3 linked regions of the Nothobranchius furzeri genome follow. Each later gene encodes a partner of the first gene's protein in a complex. Links are inferred from orthologs where the notes say so. Each region holds a gene or a part of one and is shown in the gene's direction. Other genes may lie near its edges.

Region 1 (3,754 bases):
AATGTACTATTTGTGTTAACATCAACACAATTATGGCCCATACACAATGTCAAATTAGATTAAAACCTGTCTGCAGTCACGTAAAAACAATGAAACAAGTAACAAGCAACAAGTACTTCCGGTCATGTTCGGTTGAGAATTTCGCAAAAAAGGATCAGTAATTTGTGCGTGCGTGTGATAACATTTTGCAAACGCTTGTATATTTTTCACAATGTTATTGCAAAATCTGGAAATCTAAGCAATATTACCCTCACTTTTTCCATTTCCAAACCACTTCCTCCTTAGTTGCAGGTTGGTGTTGTCTATCTCCAGCAGTCATTAGCTGTGGGGGAAACTCTGGTCTCAGTCCATCTTTTTCTACATCCATCACAAGAACACACAGGTAAACCACCAGTCCAACACACCCAGGAATACATTTTCAAATGCTAATCAACTAACATGCATATTTTAGGCCTACAGAAGGAAATAGTATTACCTGAAAGGCCACCGCCAGGATTTGAACCTACCTTCATGCTGTGAGGCAGCAGTGCTACCAAAATCGCTACCATGCAGACTGAAGAAAGAATTTTTGATGTCCTACCACAGGATTACTTTTATTTTGAAAAACGTGTCAGTAACAAACCGGATGAACTATGTGCAGTGCGATAGGACGACAAAAATAAGATAGACCATCCTTCCCTCTGCGATCACAGCCACTGGTTGGTTTCGTCTTGTTTTTGCGGAAGTGTTGATGTTTTTGATCGAGCTGCACTATCTCACTCAGTGTCATGTGGCATGAAAAGTGAACCATAAACAGGATGGTGACACTAATATATCTAGTAGTCTACAGATAATTGTTTATACATATAATCAACTTAAACAGCTCAAAAGTACACGCACAATGACTTATTTGGTGTCTTGATTTTTATATGTTAGTTCAAAAACTGTAAAAATAACCCTTCTGGTCGTTTTGTTAGTTAAAATCTTTTATATGATCATCACACAGTGTCATGATTTCAGTGTGTTGTTTTCCTTTTCTCTAAACAAATGGCTACCTTCCTTAAGTTATAATCTTACAACATCCATCTCAGCCTGTACTTTTTATTTTGTCTTTATGGGTTTCCATTCACACTGGCCCACGCCCGTGCATATATGAGGAAAATGTTGATTATGCAATCACTCCGCAGGGCAAAACACAAGGCTGTTGATAACTGGTGCTAAAGAAAAACAGCTGGGGTGTTCCAAAAAGGCTTTTCCTACCACATGTGTCGCGTTACTAAACACAAAATGTATGTGAATAATATTTTTCCCTGCATTCCTGTCATTTGGTTAAGCAAGCATGCGCACTAGAGAACTAGCTTTGGCCTTATTTGGATATGTTAATAAGTGGCTTCCTTCAACCAATCAAAAGCTGGGTTGATTGCACGTGACAGAAAAAGAGCGCTTAGGAGGCGGGGTCAGGTGCGGGGCTTCATTTAAAAGCAACGGAGAAGACACAACGCATTCAGTGTAGGGAGAAGCAGGGAGTCACTATGAGGGGGAACTTTGTTACTATGAAACTTAGGAATATTTACAATATATTGTAAAAATTATCAAAATCCATCGTAAATCATTAACCTGCCCCAAGGTTTCGAGGCTTTTAGCTTAGTTTTCCCGGAATGGGCTTCTATACTCACTATTCTTACACTTTTTTGAAAGAATGTGTGAGACAGTTAGCCAGCTAGCTAGCTAGCTGAGGGGTGAGACAGGCGGCAGGAGAACAAAAGATTTTTTTTGCGTTTTGGCCGGTTGTACTGACACCAAGTCCATGCAGAACGTGTCATTACCATCACAATGCCCGTTTTACTTTTTCTGATAGACACGTCCGCTTCAATGAACCAGCGCACCCATCTGGGCACTACCTATCTGGACATAGCAAAAGGCGCTGTTGAGACTTTTATGAAGGTACTGTGACCACGGGACACATTCATGTTGGGAGATCCCAAACGGGATTCTAGTTCGGATTATCGTTGTGCTGTTGCAAGTTCGCCTTGTCAAGCCGAGATCTCCCAGTAACCGTAAATCATTCTCTATTTTCCACAGCTCAGAGGGAGAGATCCGGCGAGCCGAGGGGACCGGTACATGCTGGTAAATTTTGAAGATGCTCCGTTCGGGATCAAGGTAGAATCTGCTTTCGGGTCATGTCCAGCTTTACATTGCGCAGATTGACTGTCCTCCATCTCCCCGCCGCCTTGTGATCAATTGTTGTAGAGAAAATCTCCAGGAGGAGCTTTCATACCCCTTTTAAAACATGGCCGACATTTTATTTCAGTGCGAGCAGCAAGGAACTCTGGGTGTTATTTATACAGAGAGGTGATATGAGAGAGGGAGGGAGGTGGAGGAGGAGGGGTGACGGACAACTAGACTACTTTAGCAGAGAGAAAATTGCCGCTTTTGTCCCGAACACGCTGCGACCGTGCCACATCGTCATGTGTGATCCGAGCTGGTGTCACACCAGCAGCAGAGAGGATCCAGGCTGCGGCGCTGATCTTCATCCCAGCTAAATATCATCATACTTCCACATTAAAGCTGGAAATAAGTTATTTAAAGTAGTTTAGTGACCAGAACAGTAGCTTTTATGAATCACGTGCTTTGTTTTGTCCATAAAGGCTGGGTGGAAGGAGAGCCACGCCACATTCATGACAGAGCTGAGGAACCTCCAAGCTACTGGACTCACCACTGTTGGACAGTCCCTGAGGACATCTTTTGATTTACTCAATCTCAATAGATTAGTGACTGGCATAGACAACTATGGACAGGTATGTAGTCCCCTGGAAATGTACTAAACGCACCCACAACAACCCCACTCCCCTGCCCCAGTCCTACAAGCATCTACTACCCAAACACACCCCTGCAGTCACACACAAACATAACTACCAAAGAAGCAGGGACCGATTATAAGTCCAGTGTTTCATGCTATAATTTTAAAATGTCTTTTTAGTCATAAAACTTAGATGCAGGTTGCAAAGAGGCTAATCTCATATGCACCAGATTATATTTCTGAAACAAAATCTAGCATAAGCCCATCTACTTCAGGACCACGGGGCCCCGGAAGAACGAGAAAATGAGTACAAGTCAATGAGGCTAAAAATGCTATTTTCTGATCCCGTATGGTTTTCACAAGACATCCGTGAAATTTAACATTTTGATGCCAAGAAAGCTCTTATTTTCAAACGAGGGCGAAAGTTATTTTAGGTCTTGTGTGAAACGTTCAGGACTACAAGTACGCATTACGAATTGACATCGAACCAGACATGAACAGAAAAAATGGCTGTACGTTCTGCGAATGTCAAATCCTTCTTTCAGGAGGAAAGAACTACTATAAATCTGGCCATGTGAGAAGTAGCAGCTACGCTAGGGGAGAGGATATTCTGTGATGACATCATATACGATATGCGGTGTACTGACGTCTGATCTGTAGTCCTAGTATTTACGATAAATCTCAAAACACGTGACAGGCGTGATCCAAACACATCAATACTTTTCATTGAAATACAACATATGTGCGATCCAGGGCGTAAAGCAAAGCGGATTAGAAAATAGCTCTTTAAGTCCCGTGGACTTGCGTTCTTTTTTTGTTTTGTTCTTCCGGGAACCCATGAGCCGACCGGAAAACTTAGACTCCATGTTGTTCTAAAAGTTAATATCTTCTGGCACATGGATGCTGAACTGCTATCAATTTGGAGAATTATTAGACTGAATCCAATTTAAAATAGCAGAAAACAAGTTTCATAAT
Region 2 (3,241 bases), on another chromosome or scaffold:
AGAATCGAGTAATCTGATTACTGGACCAGTAGTCAGAGGGTTGTAGGATTGATCCTGGTTCCCAGCAGAGAACTCTGCTGTTGTGTCCTTGGGCAAGACACTTAACTCTCCCTGCCTGCCGGTGGTGGTCAGAGGATGCCGGCGTATTGCTGCCTCGCTTCTTGTTAGTGTGCCCCAGGGCAGCTGTGGCTACACTGTAGCTCATCACCATCAGTGTGTGAATGGATGAATGGTGCACTGTAGTGTACAGCTCTTTGGAGTCCTCTGACCCTGAAAGGCGCTTCACAAGTGTGGCTCATTAAACAGCTCGCATTCATGTGCCTAATAAACCAGTCTGAGTTTATTCATGTGTGCATTTGTCCTGCAGCCCCTCCATGTGGTGTGTCCGGAGCAGTACACCCAGCCCCCCCTCAGCCAGTCCCATCGCTCTGACCTGATGCTGGAGCTGACGCCCCCTCCCATGCCCTACAGGCGCTGCTCCGTACTCAACCTGCCCTTCAGACGCCGCTACGAGCGCGTTTACATCCTCCCTGAGGTAACTGGCAGCTGCCTATTATCCAGTCACAGCATGGCAGCTGACCAACGTGCTGCACGGGTGAACAACGAAAACAGAATGCATAAAAACAATAAAGTACAAATCAGAAAACGAACACAACAAATCGATTACAACAATCAAATCGTGTGGTTCCAGGGCAGCTTTACACCGGGATCATGAACGAAGAGGCCTGCCTCACGTCAGGTGGAAGCCCGCTCCGCTCTGATTTCACAGTGCATGTCAGGAACGCATAAGAGCTGGTGGTTAGCGGACCTCTGAGATGTAGTGGGCACGTAGGGGATGAGCAGCTCAGATAGATGAGGAGGGGCTTCGTAGACAAACGTTAGAACTATCTACTGAACCCTGAAGAGAACGGAGCCAGAGTTGGCGTGATGCGTCTACGTCTGTTCGTGTTTAAGAAGTGCGCCACAGCATTCGGTACTGTCTGAAGACAGTCAAGGGAGGATTTACTAGTACCTAGGAGGATGGAATTAGCATGATCTAACCTAGAGGTTGTGGAAGCACGGATGACGGATTGCAGGTGAGATCTTGTGAGAACGTGTTAACCAGCGGAGTAAGAAGCAGAACTATTCCTGGTTATAAGTAGGAAAACCAACCTCCAGTAAGTAAAAGCTTCCAGTTAAATATGAAAGTTGAATATTCAGCTGACGGTGATTCTTCTTTTTGTAGCTCGCCAACTCACTGACGCCCAATGAGGTAAAACCTGGTGTCTCCGTGGCAACCGTCTCCGCAGTGCTGCACTCAAAGGACAATAAGCACACTCTGCAGGTGAGTCTTTTAATGTCAGGTTTATATCTGCAGTAGAAGGACGTAAAGGTCAAACGGCCACGAAGAAGCCAGGACCTCTACGGCTGGGGCTGTGCAGCAACTAGGCTGCCACAGCCCCATCTAGTGGACAACTTTTGTTTTTACAGTTCTCGTTCGTTGAGCTGACATTGATTTGAGGCTCTAGCTTGACAGTTGGAAATGTTAGTTTTCTCTGAAGTCTCCGGGTTGGACGGGCAGACGGATAAATGAGGCTTTTACCCATAAACCAGTGTGCTTCTAACTCCAATCTCAGAAAGCTCTTCTTGGTTCATGTAACTGGTGAAGCAGTGGGTAGCACTGTTGCCTCATAGTAAGAAGGTTGCAGGTTCAAATCCTGGTGGCTACATGTGTGTTTCCTCCCATAGTTGAACTAGCTGTTAGCTTGTGTCAGATGAAAGTTGTCCTTCTGTGATCCACTTTATTGATTTAATGGCTTCCCTCTGAACTTTGAAATCTAGTCTACAGTAAAAATGTTATTTTTATTGATGTGAAACTCTTGGTAATTGTTTACAGGGTAATCTTACCTGTGAAGAGGTTGGTGGTTCGTTAGTCTTGGTCCATTTGATTTGTGACCTCAAGTCCACCTTCATCAGGTGGAAATAAACAAATGAACTCGCAGCCCGTTTGTTCACAAACTGGTTCTGGTGCCTCAGAAATCCAGACGCTTTTCTTTAGAACAGATTCACAACGAGGCTGGAACCCTGAGGAACTCCACGCCTAAGTGTTGCTGCTGAGAAACACACTTCCTGTGGCTCATGCTGTGATCGGCGGTGGCTCGGGTTCAGGAAGGTCAAAGCAGCAATAATAGGTCATTAAACCCCCCCACAGGTCAGCTGACTATTTCCACTTGTGCGTTTCCAGTCGGTGCCCAAACCGCCACCCGTGGCCCCCAGCAAGAAGAGGAAGAGGGTAGTGGAGGAGCCTCCTGTGGGTTTGGCCCCCAAACCCCTCCTGAGTGGAGCTGTGCCCCTGGAAAGTTTCCTGGTCACATTACAGAAGGTCTGAATTCAGAGAGAATGCAGGACTTCTATCTGCCTGAAGTCTTTGAGCACAGACTTGGTGGGAGTTTAATTCTGATTACCTTTCTCTTCAGCACGGGATCACGGAGGTTAAAGTGGAGGAGACACCAGATGGACACATTCTGCACCTGCAGGCTGAGGACACGCTGATCCAGCTGGAGGACGACGGTACGCACATCGTCTGTGACAACAACGAGCCGCTGCGCACCACGCTGCGGGACCTGGTGCTTCGCTTCCTGCAGAAACTCTGATTTAGTTTCAGACTGTGAGCAGGTCACACCTGCAGAGTGAAGCTCACTTGTGTTTTAGTTTTATAAAACTTCTTATTTTCTATTAAAAACAACATTAAGGGGGTGTCTGCTGTGAGAAGACTGAAGTTTTGAGTTGCAGAAGTGAAAGTTGAGCAGAAAAACACCACACACACACACACACACACACACGGAGAAGCTCCATAAAGAGAGACCATCAGCCGTTTCTTCTCTGACGCCCTCCTCCTGAACCAGATCAGGACTCTTAACGTGGTAGATCTCAGGTTTTAGCTGACAGACACTCTGCTAGCTCTTCAGATGTGGTCTCGGAGTGGACTAGGTGGGCGTTCTGCTACGCTCAGACAAGTTTGAGGTTCCACATGTTGTGCCTCAGAGAGGCTGTTCTGCAGACCTCGGTAGGAACCAGTGGTTATGCTGTGGTCTGTCACCGAGAACCCTAGTGATGGTTTTGGTTTCAGATCCCAGTAGAGAAATGAGCGAGCGGTGTATAGGCTCCACATCTGCTGATTTAAATGAGCAGCGTCTGTAGAAGTCAGCTTGGTTATCATTTCATGTTCAAATCTAGTATTATGCTAGCCCTGGTAACCAGT
Region 3 (3,665 bases), on another chromosome or scaffold:
TCAGTGGATCTCTACACCTGATTTCCCCAGACACCCAAAAGCTGACGCTTGTCTCCCACTGACCTCCGCACAGGCCTTCAAGCAGGTTTTTTTGAAACCCAGCAGCTCCAGAACATCCTTCCTGGAAGGGTCTTCCTCAGTGGTTTTGATGATAATGTGCCTGAGCACCACGGCTAGTCCTGCCCTGCACAGGCGCCCGCTCTCATCCACCGCTGCCGGGAGACGGCAGCTCCTCACCAGCTGGGGCAGATCCTCCAGCTGGACCCAGCTGACACCAACAGGCACTGGGAGCTGGCTCCTGAAAGCGTCCGAGCAGCTACTGGTGTAAACCATGAACACTTTGAAGGACTTGCACTCGCAGTATGATAGGAGAAACATAACTATGGACGTGTGCAGGGGGAGACGCAGCTCCTCGTTCTGGGAACAAACCTCTAAGAAGAGGGAGAGATGTTGCTCTTTTTTCTCGTTGTGCTTCATTGTAAATAAACTAGAAGGACAGTAAAACAATCAGTTAGTTTTATCATTGTTTTAGTGTTCTCTGTTGGTACTTTTACGTCTAGATTACTTAAATTCAACATATGACCCAAGAAAAATGACTTACCTGAAACAGGCGGACCGGTGTGTTTTGGTGATTCTTCTTCTGCTGTTTTTTCACTAGCATAGCTCCACAGCGCCGCCAGCGGTCTTCTCAAACGTTTCAAAACTCTCTTCATGAAAGAGTAACACCTATGTACAAAATATGTACCGCAAAGGAAAACATACGTGGGATGAATACTTATTTTATTATAACCAAAATAGTATAATAACCACGCGAACGCGAATACAAATTTCGCAAAACGTTCCGCCCTTGCAGACTCCGGACATATTTGTCGGTTACTCAAATGTGAAGACGAAACGCCGACGGAAGTGTTGCTCAGTTTTCCGTTGTTCAATAGAAAGAAAATATTCCGGTAAAACAGAAAATACACCCAGTCTCGGGTAAGCCTGTGTTTATGATAATTATGAGCTTCAATTTTAGAATTATAAAGCGACCTCGGTAACTACCGCGGTGCTTCTGTGGTTGTAGTCCGTCTTCCTGTTTTTACTCAGAAACCAAATATTTGCCAATGTTTAAAGTCATTCACAGCAGTTGGATCGGTGGGACTCGGCTTATAGGCGCCGGCAGTTCTTTTTACTTTGATGAAATGATACTAATTCACAGCATTACGTGAATTGTTATTGTTTGATTTCTAGTGGAAGCGATGGCTGGACCTGTCAGTTTGGAGCTGGATCCCATCTTCCTAAAAGGACTGAGTTATCTACATTCCAAGAGCAAAGATTCAGCTGAGAAGCTCAAAGCTCTACTTGATGAGTCCCTTGCTAGAGGCAGCGATTCCTCTTATCGCTCTTCACAAAAAGTAAGATAATTCATTCTCATATACACTCACCTAAAGGATTATTAGGAACACCTGTTCAACTTCTCCTTAATGCAATTATCTAATCAATCAATCACATGGCGGTTGCTTCAGTGCATTTTGGGGTGTGGTCCTGGTCAAGGCAATCTCCTGAACCCCAAATGCCACGGGCTACCTGAGCATTGTTTCTGACCATGTCCATCCCTTCATGACCACCTTGTACCCATCCTCTGGTGGCTAATTCCAGCAGGATAATGCACCGTGTCATAAAGCTCCAGTCATTTCAAACTGGTTTCTTGAACATGACAATGAGTTCACTGTACTACAACGGCCCCCACAGTCACCAGATCTCAACCCGATAGAGCATCTGTGGAACGGGAGCTCCGTGCCCTGGATGTGCATCCCACAAATCTTCCATCAACTGCAAGATGCTATCCTACCAATATGGGCCAAGATTTCTAAAGAATGCTTTCAGCACCTTGTTGAATCAATGCCACGTACAATTAAGACAGTTCTGAAGGCGAAAGGGGGTCAAACACCGTATTAGTGTGGTGTTCTTAATAATCCTTTAGGTGAGTGTAGAGAAATCCCCTTAAAGAGCAAGTCACCCCCTACCAGAGTCTTACTCCACTCCCACTTCCTGTTTGAAAAATGCAACAAATGCTGTTACCTGGCAGACCGAGGGGGTGGAGCCACTAACAAATACACACACAGGCTCACAATGACTTTGTGACATCATAATGTACTTCTTAGACAATAGCAATGGCAGAGTTTTTACCTGAAGACGACGTAACACTGACAGTTTTAGGCAGATTATTTAAATTTATCTAAGATGCACCAAAGTGCCAAGTTATTGACTACAAGTGTCTACAGCATGATTAGACACTCATTTATATAGTTTATCAGCAAGAAAGAAATTTGGGGGGGGGGGGGGGGGGGGGGGGGCTGACTTGCTCTTTAATGTCATTCGTATGACATTGTTTTAAAACCAAGTGCTTGTGCCTTCTGTGTGATTGTTTTGTCCTCAGGAGGTGGAAGTGTCAAAGGCATCCGTGTCAAAGCTGAGTTTAAGTAAAGAGCCCAAGTCTTCAAGTTCTTCTTCTGGCAGCAGCGGTGGAAGTAGTAAATCCAGCTCAGAGAAAGGCAAGAAAGAAGGCGAGAAGAGGTCATCAGAGAAGGTGTGGAAGACATTTTTCCAATTTTTACTAATGATCCCAGTAATCTGTGTCGTGTTGCTGTTCAATTGGGAAGTAAAAGTGCACAAATGAATGAAAAGTGCATATTATATAACTCTAAAGCTTTAAAGCAGAATCCGATTTAAATATGTGATCAGGTGTTTTTTGTTTGTGTGATTTAGTCAAACTTCCTTTTGTATTTTGCTGAAAAACAGGCCAGGGTTGACGTGAGCGAAGTGGACCCCCCCAAAAAGCCTCGTTTAGAGAAACAAGAGAACCGCTCCTCTCCAATCACATTTCAGACGAGCAAAGACCTCCTACCAAACATAAACGACTACGACGAGACAAACGCTGACGACTTTGCCATGGAAATGGGTCTGGCCTGCGTGGTTTGCAGGTACGAGTAGCCAATCGTGTAGATTTGTCAGCATGTTATTCCCTCAAATTAATCAGATCACCATTTTAAGCAGAAATTCAGTCTTTTTTTTTTAAATAATTAATTCTCTCAGACAAATGACGGTGACCATGGGAAACCAGTTGGTGGAGTGCCAAGAGTGTCATAATCTCTACCACCAGGACTGCCACAAACCTCAAGTGACTGATAAGGAAGTGAATGACCCACGGCTTGTGTGGTATTGTGCCCGTTGCACCAGGCAAATGAAACGGATGGTGAGGAAAATCAAGTCACGATCCTGCATCACCTTTTTAATGATGAACTAACTTGTTTGTTTGTTTGTTTGTTGACCAGGCTCAGAAGCCTCCTCAGAAACCATCCCCTGCATCTGCATCTTCAGCACCGGTTGTTAAAGACCCGCTGGTGAAAAAGACAGAGCTGAAGGCTAAAACCGATACAACCAGCACCTTCCAGGCCTTCAAGAGGACAGAGGTGAAGGTGTGTGTGAGTATTTTAATTAAAAATGACATCCTCAGTCTTGTTTCTACTAACCAGTAAGGGGTTTAGAGGTAAGAAAAGCAACAGGAACAGTTCCTTTTCTTTCCTTAATTGTTTAGAAGATTTGTTTCTGCGTTTGGATTCAGACAATATGGCAGTTTTAGTGTCAAATATATTCAATCTTATTAGTTTAAGACCTTTTAG

What was found.
Region 2: ints6 (region 1) and ints9 share a complex: the UniProt entries of both Homo sapiens proteins name them as parts of the integrator complex. The link is inferred for Nothobranchius furzeri from reciprocal best matches to the Homo sapiens genes INTS6 and INTS9.
Region 3: ints6 (region 1) and ints12 share a complex: the UniProt entries of both Homo sapiens proteins name them as parts of the integrator complex. The link is inferred for Nothobranchius furzeri from reciprocal best matches to the Homo sapiens genes INTS6 and INTS12.

What each region holds. Positions count from the first base shown.
Region 1 is NC_091754.1:31,095,561-31,099,314, forward strand, and holds the start of ints6 (integrator complex subunit 6), read left to right. Parts: upstream 1-1,585; 5' UTR 1,586-1,812; coding exon 1,813-1,923; intron 1,924-2,061; coding exon 2,062-2,139; intron 2,140-2,627; coding exon 2,628-2,777; intron 2,778-3,754. UniProt on the Homo sapiens protein: Component of the integrator complex, a multiprotein complex that terminates RNA polymerase II (Pol II) transcription in the promoter-proximal region of genes.
Region 2 is NC_091742.1:17,907,453-17,910,693, forward strand, and holds the end of ints9 (integrator complex subunit 9), read left to right. Parts: intron 1-367; coding exon 368-535; intron 536-1,225; coding exon 1,226-1,324; intron 1,325-2,224; coding exon 2,225-2,362; intron 2,363-2,456; coding exon 2,457-2,633; 3' UTR 2,634-2,736; downstream 2,737-3,241. UniProt on the Homo sapiens protein: Component of the integrator complex, a multiprotein complex that terminates RNA polymerase II (Pol II) transcription in the promoter-proximal region of genes.
Region 3 is NC_091746.1:80,675,374-80,679,038, forward strand, and holds the start of ints12 (integrator complex subunit 12), read left to right. Parts: upstream 1-851; 5' UTR 852-978; intron 979-1,233; 5' UTR 1,234-1,241; coding exon 1,242-1,397; intron 1,398-2,422; coding exon 2,423-2,572; intron 2,573-2,784; coding exon 2,785-2,966; intron 2,967-3,078; coding exon 3,079-3,238; intron 3,239-3,317; coding exon 3,318-3,467; intron 3,468-3,665. Other genes in the region: gstcd (glutathione S-transferase C-terminal domain-containing protein), read right to left, coding at 64-477. UniProt on the Homo sapiens protein: Component of the integrator complex, a multiprotein complex that terminates RNA polymerase II (Pol II) transcription in the promoter-proximal region of genes.